Linked DNA regions of Schizosaccharomyces pombe. The protein of the gene in region 1 purifies or fractionates together with the protein of each later gene. This does not show direct contact. Each region holds a gene or a part of one and is shown on either strand. Other genes may lie near its edges.

Region 1 (5,151 bases):
AAGACGGTGAAGAGACTTCAAGTGTAAACAAACCTTCTGCTTCTTCAACTCAAACTGACGTTAAAGGAGTGGAAGGATTGCGGAAACGAAATGTCAAAGATGATCAGAACTCTAAAGGTCACGAGCCTGATTTGATTAGACATGTAGTTGAAGAAGTTAGTGAAGAGTATAACGACAAAACTGTGGTATATTTAAATTTGTTATGTGATTCATTTCATAATTTTATGGACGGTTTGGCGATCACTTCCGCCTTCTTTACCAATACCTCCATTGGCATATCCACCACATTTGCTGTTCTATTACACGAAATTCCAGCAGAAATTGGTGACTTGGCTATACTTCTGAGAAATGGGTATACGAAATCGCAAGTACTCGTGTTGCAAATGATCACTATGGTGACGGGATTATTGGGAGCAATTGTCGCTACATATATATACACTGCTTCATCTTCATCTTCACCATATGGTTCTTTCCTTCTACAACTTGAGGATAAACTCCTTCCTTTCACGGCTGGTGGTTTCCTTTATATAGCTTACCTAGGCGTATTTCCCGAGCTTTTGGAAATCAACTTATCAAAAGGAAAGCTGGGAAATATGATTTACACGGCATTGTACATGATGTTTATTGTTGGAGGTTTTTCTTTTTTATATTATGTTTAAAGTGACAGATAACTTACATTAGGGCGTGGTATGGAGTTGATATTGTACTATTCTAGAAATATAAATCGGGACTAATATTTTTTGTCCTTCATTTTTTCTGGCATTGTGCTTTGTCTTTACATTTAATATTAAAAAATTACACATTTATGAAGATGTGTAGAAACATTATTTTAGTTCTTTTATTAACTTGTTAATTATTATGGTAGAATTAAGTTGTTCACATTCACATAAGGCGCTTTCGTGTTCAAACTTGTAATTTTTGATCCCTCTTATTTCAAAATTTACGCGCTTTAAATCGTTTAAGAGTATTTTTATTTCTTTTCCATAACCTGTTTCTATTCTAGCTGACAGAAAAGATTGTAAACAATCGGCATTGAGAGTAAACAAATAATGCCAATTTAAAATAACATTCAATGTTTTTGCTTTTCATAAGCGAAAACACGTTTTGACCAAACCTGACAAGACTAAAACTATATGGAATATTATTATTATAAGGGTAAAGGAAACGAGTAAGAATTCAAGGGCAATAAACAAAACATCCTAACTTTTTTACCGTTGTTTCTATCACCATCCTAATGTTTTGAGTTTTCATCATTGTAACATTCCTATGTCAAACAGTGGATGAAAACACTTGTTACCCAAGTCACAACTACTAACTGTTTTACAGTACTGTTTTTAAGTTACTCGTTACTTATATGTAAACAATACAGTTGCTAGATATGGTAGTAAAAAGTATATAGGGTATAAGGGAAAATATATTTCATTACTTCAAATCGATAAAGATTTTGAACCAAAGAATATATAAGCACCCACTTTTTGAAAAAAATTTGTAAAAAAAGTCGAGCAAATATATATATATGATGGTATCACGTAACCTCGTTATATATCATAAAATTAGATGGTAATTGGTCAAGGATGCAACCTCGCATTAGAAAGTGATGAGATGGATCGTTCATAAAAACAATCCAACCACTACCTACTAAATTGAGGAGACCTCAAACCATTTTCGTCCGTTCATCGGTAAAGAAATCATCCCGATGCTTTGGTGGATTGAGTTTCACCAGCCAAAAGCATGAATTTTAAGTCATAAGAACCTCTTTACAACTTGTCATCAACAAAGCGTTGAGCCTTGTCATGAGCCTCTTGAGAGGTGCTCTTGTCCTCGTCAGAGGTAAAAGCAGAGGCGACCTTGTCGTAGGCACCAGTAATGGATTCCTTGGCCTTGTCGAGGGTAGACTTGGAGGAGTCAGGAGTCATTTTCTCCTTGCCTTGTTCAGTAAAAGACTTTCTTGCGGGATCAGACATTTTGAATATTTAAGACAATTAAATTGATTGGAATTGAATTGAATGATTAAACTGTTGAACTTGGACTCGTATTTATAGCTTCTTGTCCAATTGCTCATGTCATTATGATCGCAGCCCATTACATCACATTTGCGTCAGTTAGCATTAGAAACTGGAGAAAACTGCGATCCAAGGAATTACGTAGTTTTCTATCAGATAGCTCGCTATCCAATCAGACAAATAATGAGCAGCTTCTAGCAAAGCCCCTTTTCTTCGCACCATTCGTTTTCTGAGCTACGTAAGCTATTTCCAATGAGCGCCCACTCTACTTTCTTATGATGTAATACAGAAGCTTTGTGGATTTGCAAAGCGAGATAGCGAGTACGGTAAAACCCTCGCTAGGTTAGAGGTTCAAAGTGGAGAGAAGCGAAGTGGTGGTACTAGTTCAAAGAGAGAGAGAGAGAGAAAGAGAGGAAGAAGGGGAAGTGCATCTTGTCTTTAGAGTGAGTATCCCTTAGGAAACAAACTTATTTCTGTAAATAAATTTTAAGAAGTTTTCTTTGTCTTTTAAAATTCCGAAGTATTCTTTGCATGATGGTGTTGTTATTGGGTGATGAAATTTTGATCTAAATAGGGGAACTTCACTTGTTGAAAAAAAAAACAATTAGAGCAAAAACAATAACACTTTGCAAAACGTTATTTAAAAGATAACCACAACCATGTTCAAAGTGAGTATGGCTTAGTAGAGGCAATCTCATTCAGGTATTACACACACTGCGCACAATAACACAATTGTTTCAACGCCGCACGTATTGCATGCGATACATCGTGAAATTCCGTTATAAGCAGGGAATATTACGAGATGCTGCAAACTGCGGATTACACAACTACGCAATAGAGAGTTGGTAAACCATTATTTTGTTAGACGAACTGCAATGATGGTTTTGTTAAATCAATAATAAGGAGAAGTAAGGTGTAGCTAAAGACCATTTATAATCTTTTAGGAAGCGTAACCCAAGGTGTGTAACCCGAAGTAGAGAAGAAAAGATGATACGTGAGAAATGTGAGATGAGAACATGAGCAAAAGTAGGAATGGCTCGACGTTTTTTGGTTTCTTTTTTTTTTTTTTTAAATTGATTTTATTTTATTTATTTTTAACTTTATAGAAATTTTTTTATTTTTTTTCTTATTTTATTTAATTTATTTATTCATTACAGCATTTCGAGATGGTTTCAATATTTTGTTTCTCTTTATTAATTTTTTTTTTTTTAAAACAAAGAAAGAAAGTGAAAGAATAAAATAAACTGGCCATCTTCTATTATACCCATTCTCAACAAAAACTCTTTTGAATGTAGTCCAATCACCAAAGCAAAAAAAAGTAAATTCAACTCAATCGTTCTTCCTTTTCTTTTATTTACTCGTTTTTTTTTAGGGATTTCGCTTCATACTCGTTTTTTCTTTTTAATATTCATTCCATTTTCTTTTCTTGAATAATTCGTTTACTCCTTTATTATTATTATTTTTTTTTTTTTTTAAATTTCATTCATCTTTGTATTTTATCTCTCCGTTTCACTTCTTTTCGTTCATTGTTATGGTATTCCTTTCCACAACTCCTTCACTTATATACTTCTTGTTTGCCTTTTTCTTTTCGCTTGTTTCAGTCCACTAATCATCAACTTGAATCTGTTTGCTTACTTGTATACATACCAAAACCTTTCTCATTCGAGTATGTCTATCATACCACCCAATTTTCCATCTGACTATATACAGTATATCTGATTCGCTTAATCCATCCTAACTTCTCGTCATCCACCTTCCAATTTAACATTTTACGCATACATGCTAATGAGCTTTTGAGCAATTGATTTGCATTTTGTATATTATTATAGACTTATTTAATGAGTAATTTTTTTGTCTCGATCCATCATTTTCATTTAGAAATATGTCTAGGTTGTCTCAGTTGTTAAACTCCAAAAAAGCAAAACAAAAACCTCCGTCTGAACATCCCATCGGTCTTTCTTCTATCCTAAAACAAGACTCCTCTTCAAGTTCTGATTCTCCCAACTTTTTTCCATCCTCCAGCACAAATGACCATCAAGAACGTGACACAATTAACGACACTAACTTTGTAGTTCCAGGTACGCCATTATAATTAGTCACAAAAAGTGGAGAACTAGAAATTAACATTCATAGAGAAACAAAAAACATCCAAGCTCGCATTACTCGCCGCTGAACGGAAAAAATTGCATTCTTCTTTTCCATCCACTCAACAGCAGCCGCCTAAAACCGAAAAGGAAAAGGAAAAAGAGCCTATTCAAGCTAAACATAAGAAAAACGTTGAAAATGATTTTTTGTTGCAAAGGTTTCGAAAGGTTCGCATTGCAGAGAAGAAAGACTCTGAACAACCATCGTCTCATGAAATTCATCTTACTGACGATGATGATAAAACCACACTCCAAAAACAAATGGTGGAAAGCGACCAACTGAAGAAGAACCCCCAAGAGGTAAAATTAGCTCCTCCTTCCTCATTTGCGAAATGTCTTACAGGCGCAAAGAAGCGCGTTTTTGAGGACCAAATTGAGATTCATCTAAGCAAAAGTTCACTTTTAGGATTTAACGCCCCTAGCCCTGACGACATAGTTTTGATGGCTCAATCTAAATCTAAAAGTATGCTTTGTCTCCTTCAATTCATCTTTTCCTTTTTTTTTCGCGCTAATTGTTAAACAGGTTTCCAAAAACACAAACGTTTGGACGAGCAATTGCTAAACTCTGTAAAGTCAATGAAGAAAGTTTCTCAACAATTGAAACCTCAAAAAAATACTAATGATTCAAATAATGATCACACCTTACTTTCCCAAGATCAGTTAATTGAACTTTCCAAATTAGTAAAGCCTCGAACGAAACTCTTGTTGTTGGGCCCGCCCAAGTCTGGTAAAAAAACACTCCTTTCTAGATTATTTTTTCAAATTGGATCATTTGATCCCAAAACCATGCAAAAATGTACAGTACTGAATGCCAAAAAAGAAAGTTTGAGCTCAGTGCTAAAGTCCACCAAAACGAAATGGTATGATTTTGAAACATTTTCCAACAGTTACTCCTCAACTATTATTGATTTTCCTTTAGGAATCTTCACTACTAATGCAAGTTCTCGAGATAATTTTCTAAAACATTCAAGTTTGTTTCAAGTAATGAACACAGCCATTTTCAC
Region 2 (6,263 bases), 1.7 Mb from region 1:
CCCATGGCTTGTTAAGAGTTCTAGCTTGGATAACAGCTTTAGAATTAGAGATTCCGAAAACGTCAGAAATGCTTGCAAGTCTTTGGATCCCTTGACCATAGAAAGAATTGCTACACTACAGGATTTCAACTGTAGTGTTTGTTTGGATCCTTGTTTGGCTCCCGTTTTTATTATCCCTTGCGGGCACTTTACATGTCAAGAGTGTATGAGCATGCTAGTCGGCCAGAAGTATGGATCATCAAGCACTTCTACGATCATAGCAAAGTGCCCAATGTGCAGAGGTAATATAGTTCAAGATTCATTAGTTGATGCAACTATCCTTCAAGCAATCCATGGTCCTTTAAACTCTTTAAAGCAATTAGAGTTAGATATGAATCAATCTTTTTCAGAACAAGAAAGCATTAAATTAAGGTGGGAAAATCGTATTGACCAGATGTTTACCAAAAAATTTGGCAAGCGGGCGAGCGAATGGAAAAGCTCCTCGAAATTGAATCAAGCAAGACAAACAATTTTGGATATAATTGGCTCCAAGAGAAACGAAAAAATTCTGGTCTATTCTCAGTTCTCCCAGTATTTATGCCTCGTATCGCACATGCTAAAATTAGAAAATATACGACATGTTCGTTATGATGGTACTATGTCTGCGAACCAGAGGCAAAAGTCCCTACATTCTTTTAATAACGATAAAGATGTTTTAGTCATGCTGGTTTCATTGAAAGCCGGCAGCGTGGGTTTGAATTTGACGATTGCAAATCACGTTATTCTACAGGAACCATTTTATAATCCGAGCATAGAGGATCAAGCAATAGATCGTGTTCATCGGCTTGGACAGCAGAAGCCTGTCACCGTGTATAGGTTTATTACTAAAGATACGATTGAAGAGCGTATCGTCAGTGTTCAACGTAAGAAGCGTCAATTGGTTAAAGAAGCTTTGGATTCAAACGAAAACAATCCTCTGTCGAGACTTGACAAAGAAGAGTTGCTATATCTATTTGGGCTTAATTCATGATTATTTAATGTTAACGTTACTCAAATGAACTATACTCTACTGCATACTAAACTAAACGTTAAAAAAAGGGGTGGTGTAGTGTAACGCATGTACAATGTATAATAATAGTATGCTTTGATGGTTTTAAGGCCACAAAGCCAAACTAACTACTCATGAAACGTAATCAAAGTTATAAATTTATAAATGATAGAAATAAAGTGCAAGAAGAATATAATGAAGATAACTTTGTTATATGGCTACGAATATTAGATAAATCATAGGTATCAGTTCATATATGCAAAAGTAATCAGACCATTAGGATCCGTTTACTGATAAAATGCTAACGCTTTAGTTTCAAGCTTTAACAGTGTCAGTCGTAGACTCTTTGGGCTCGGGATGTTCGTTTTCAGAAGCAGCAGCGGCAGCAGGAGCCTCCTCCTTAGCAGACTGGTTGTATTCGGCGTCAGAAGTCCATAAAGTCAAGTTATCGCGAAGAAGCTGCATGATTAAAGTAGAGTCTTTGTAAGATTCTTCAGAAAGACTATCGAGCTCTGAAATGGCCTCATCAAATACTTGTTTAGCCAAATGGCATGCACTTTCTGGAGAGTCAAGGATTTCATAATAGAAGACGGAAAAGTTGAGAGCCAAACCCAAGCGCATAGGGTCCGTGGGAGGCAACTCAGCAACAGCAATGTCAGAAGCTGCCTTGTAAGCTTCTAAAGAGCTGTCGGCGGCCTCTTTGCAAACTTCGCCAACAGTAAATTCGGCCAAATAACGATAGTAATCACCCTTCATTTTATAGTAAAATACCTTGGATTCACCGGTTGTAGCGGCAGGAATCAAATGCTTTTCAAGGACGGAAAGGACGTCATGACAAATATCGGATAACTCATCTTCAATCTTCTTACGGTACTCTTTAATCAATGCGGCTTGTCGAGTGTTGCCCCTACTTTCCTCCTTTTGCTCTATAGAGGAAATAATACGCCATGATGCTCTGCGAGCACCAATGATGTTTTTATAGGCAACAGAAAGCAAGTTACGTTCTTCAACAGAAAGTTTATCGTTTGAGCATGCAACTTTCTTCATATTTTCGACCATTTCTATACATTATCAGTTAGCAAAGAAGCAAAAACAAAAAGGAGAGATGAAAGAAGCAAAGCCAAGTATAGACGGGTCAACAAACAGTAATTCAAAACGAGTTATCATTGCATGGTGAAGATATGAAGGTAATAATATCCTTAATTGCGTTGAGGTTTACCTACAGAACGGTGTTTCGTGTTACTCCTGATGTTAGTGAATTTCTTTGTCTTGGTGGTTACAAAGAAACCTCAAATCATAAGAGGAGATAAGAATGATAAGACAATCAAGGCAGTTCAATCGTGGTTTTAAGAGAAAAAAGGAAGCAAGGTAGGAAATAGAACAAAGGCGACAAAAAATAATGATTACGAAAACCATAAAATCAAGAGAATTGCAAGCCGTTCTTGTCCATAACCTCAGATATCATAAACATGTCCAACAACAAAACAATGTTGTAAGAACTCATTTTAAACCTCATCAAGCGATTTTGGGGACATTTTAAAATACACAAGTCATCCACGTACTAACCCATAACCCCTCTTTTTCTCAGCCGCATCAAACAAACAACCTTGCAACATTCAACAACGCAACCTGTTCAAGACCAACAATATTAAAAAACCAAAGAACTCCCACATACAGTAGCAAACTGCAATATAATAACTTTTCATCAAGGTCCCTTCATTGACAATTTCGTACTATTACGCTATATCTACTTCCAACAGCGGATCCTTATCACATACCTTCGTAGCGTTCAGCCTGTTCGGCCAACTTGGCGAGATACACCGAGTTTTCACGAGAATTACTCATATTTGCAAGGAATTATTAAAAGCGGTGGTTAGTTGAGGTTGGTAGAAGTGAGAAAGGAAAGTTGGGAAGGTTGGTTGGTCAGCCGAATATATGACGGACTATACTGAGATTTATGGATATCTAACAGAAACATCACTACACCTCTCTTATTCTTTTACAATATCGTAAAAATACTTCTTACACGTATGATTAGGCTTCCAAAAACAAATGCCAAACAAATGCCCAGTGTCAATAGGAATTCGGTAGAAAACGCGTTTTTACTCACTGAATGAGGAATTGCTGTCTTAAAGTATGTTACAATAAGTTTTTCTTTCGAAAACAAGATACCAAGTATCAAACATAAGCGTGAAAGATTACAGTTAAAACAATGAGTGCAATAATTGAGGAAGCTTGACAGAAACAAGAGGCTTACTTTAGGGGCAAAGAAGTTTTAGAAGGTTTTTTATCACTCTATGCAGGAAGCTTCAAGAAGAAGGCGTTTTTCTTTAGTTTTCGATGGCATATGCGATATGCTTGAATATCCGTAGGAGGCGGCGAAATTCCATTATATTACATTGACTACAAAGGAGTACAGTGAGCTGAAAAGTGTGTGTTATTATGTAAGCTGCTTTTCGGCGTTGTCATCACAGATTGGTGATTACCGCAAACGGTAATTTTACGAACAAAAAAGATCAAATTACATTGTGCTGATTAATTGCTCCTTCAACTTGTGTATTTTAAACTTAATACTTCTTGGCTTAAATGTAAAGTTTTTTAATTCTCGTTGTTCTAAAATTGCATACTGCGTTTATCATAAACCTTTCAAGTTTCCCTGAAATTGTTTCTGTTATCCTGAAACAATACGATATTCTTATATGAAAAAGGTATGAGTTGATTTAAACAAGATAATACGACTTTATAATTTCAGGGTTATTGTTCGCTCATTTCACTTACACGTTTGATGGGGTTTCTACTGCAATGCTGCAGTCCCGTTGTGGGCAACTTGATTGCGCGGTAATACGAAAAGTAGGATTTTAAATTGTTACAAGGGACAATCTGGTTGGGATAAGATTTTTTATAAGTCGCGGTACTTATTTTGTCTAGTAAACAAAACCGTCCTCTTATGTGCAACTTCAGCAGAATTTACTAACCAATTCTATTCATCCTTACAAGAAAATAATTAATTTGCACCAATTTGAACCTGGTTCAATATGTGTAGGCCGGAAATGAATTTAATTATGCTGCATTGGATTCTTACAAATACACTTCAAAAATATTGATGAAATTAAACAAAACTATGCTTAAAGATACTGTATTTTGTCTGGTATATGATTTGGGGGTCTTTAAAAAATTGCCTTCCATATCAATGATAAGCGTCTTAGCTGCCACACCTCAACAACACATCTCTAAAAATTGGCATTTCCTCTGTTGTTTGAGTTTTGTGAAATTATTCTTTAAATATTTTTAATAAATTCAAACCTCTCAATCAAATGTGGGCAGAAATCCTCTCTTTCTCACCAATAGAGTAATTATATAAATAATCCACAAACCGTTAGTTTGTTAAACCAAACGCTATTCGATCTCTTTGGCATTATAACTATTTTGATAAACCAAGAATAATACATTCATTGCTATACAACCTGTCAATTCTTAGCATCCATAATCCTGTTTGAATTATGCCATCCAATACATCCCGGTCAGTGCCTACGGGCTTTTATTACAAACAAAATGCTAGGATGCAGAACAGGCCTAGATTTTCTGATCGTAAACACTCGAGTAAATCTAAACATCGATTTCCAGTGGACCCTAGTTTGCAACCAGACGAAGCGGATGAGGGAACAAGATTATTGGGAAACAGTGATAGTGATCTATTAGAACCACCGTCTGAGCATTCAAGTAATGGGGAAGATGACAAGGATATTAATAACCCTCCTTCAATGCCTAGTTCTGTTTGTTCTTCCCCGAAAAGTCCACACCGTCACTATGAAAGCGATGAAGACATCGAAAATATATCACTGCCGGAAAGCCATCCAGAGGACATTCAAAGGAAAGAATTTGAGACGGAAAATGGGAAGAATACAAGAGATCAACCTAGTCCACTTGCTGAGGTCAGTGACTTTGCTATTTCATCCCCCCATGTCTACCCTAAATCAGCTAATTCTCATGATAGTCACTATGAACAGTTTGCAAACAACGACGTGACTGAGAGTGCTGTTGATGATCATCCGGCTACTCGAAAGTTATCTCGGGATGAGTTGTATTTACCCATATCTCCAAACAATGCTCAAGAACCAAAGTTTTCTGTCCTTGATGAATGGACCAAAAAGATGGTTGCCAATTTTGAAGAATATTCGGTAGAAGATGTTGATAAGCGTCGTGAAAGAAATAGGAAGTTGAGTGAACCGTTACTTGTAAATGGCCGTTATCGTGTTCGTGATCGTTGGGCTCAATTTCGTAAGTCAGAAATTGAAAAACCATATCGATTTACATTCTTTACCGATGAGCTTCCTTCTACTATCCATTCACATGAAATGTGGGAACTCGTTCACGATGGCCAAAGCTTTGAGGACCTTTTCCATTCTGGAGGAACTTGGTGGCTAGATGTCTCTTGTCCAAAGGAAGAAGAAATTCGAGTTCTGGCAAAGGCTTTTGGAATCCATCCTTTAACCGTTGAAGATATTACTCTCGAAGAGGATCGTGAAAAAGTCGAGCTTTTTAGAACGTATTACTTTGTTACCTTCCGTTCATTCAACCAATTACCCTCAAACTCTGAGTACCTAAAGCCGTTGAATTTTTATCTAGTCGTCTTTCGTGACGGTATAATTACTTTTCATATGAACCCGACACCGCATCCAGCTAATGTTCGTCGAAGGATTCGTCAACTGAATGGTTATCTGACAGTGAATGCAGATTGGATCGCATATGCATTGCTGGACGATACTACAGATGCTTTCGCTCCATTCATTGAGCAAATTGAAGATGAAGTCGACACAATTGATTCCATGATTTTGAGTATCCATTATGATCACGTAATGGAAGTGAAGCCTCAAGAGAGAATGTTGCAGCGCGTTGGTGAATGCCGCAAGCTGATCATGAGTTTGCTACGTTTGCTTGCCAATAAGGCAGATGTTGTTAGAGGTCTTTCCAAACGATGCAACGAGTCATGGCAAGTAGCTCCTAGAGGTGAAATTGCTTTATATCTTGGTGATGTGCAGGATCACATAGTCACTATGGTTCAAAATTTGAACCATTACGAAAAAATTTTATCTCGAAGTCATTCAAATTATTTGGCTCAGATTTCTATTAATATGACACTTGTTTCGAATGAAACAAATGAAGTCTTATCACGTTTGACTATCTTGGGTACAATTCTAATTCCGTTGAACTTGGTTACCGGTTTATGGGGTATGAA

What was found. Proteins that work in one complex are often made in the same cells at the same time.
Region 2: the proteins of hsp9 (region 1) and rad25 purify together in Schizosaccharomyces pombe (affinity purification with western blotting, with the first as the bait; one study listed by BioGRID). This does not show direct contact.

Annotation. Positions count from the first base shown.
Region 1 is NC_003424.3:5,318,642-5,323,792, forward strand, and holds hsp9 (plasma membrane heat shock protein Hsp9), read right to left. Parts: upstream 2,036-5,151; 5' UTR 1,965-2,035; coding exon 1,758-1,964; 3' UTR 1,316-1,757; downstream 1-1,315. Other genes in the region: zip3 (ZIP zinc transporter 1), read left to right, coding at 1-659; ski7 (ski complex-interacting GTPase), read left to right, coding at 3,886-4,081, 4,137-4,610, 4,671-5,151.
Region 2 is NC_003424.3:3,581,908-3,588,170, forward strand, and holds rad25 (14-3-3 protein Rad25), read right to left. Parts: upstream 2,935-6,263; 5' UTR 2,873-2,934; coding exon 2,806-2,872; intron 2,089-2,805; coding exon 1,343-2,088; 3' UTR 1,221-1,342; downstream 1-1,220. Other genes in the region: rrp1 (ATP-dependent DNA helicase), read left to right, coding at 1-1,009; vacuolar CorA family magnesium ion transmembrane transporter Mnr2, read left to right, coding at 4,528-6,263. UniProt on the Schizosaccharomyces pombe protein: Acts in cell cycle and stress checkpoint signaling by sequestering signal transducers regulated by the checkpoints. Required for the DNA damage checkpoint that ensures that DNA damage is repaired before mitosis is attempted.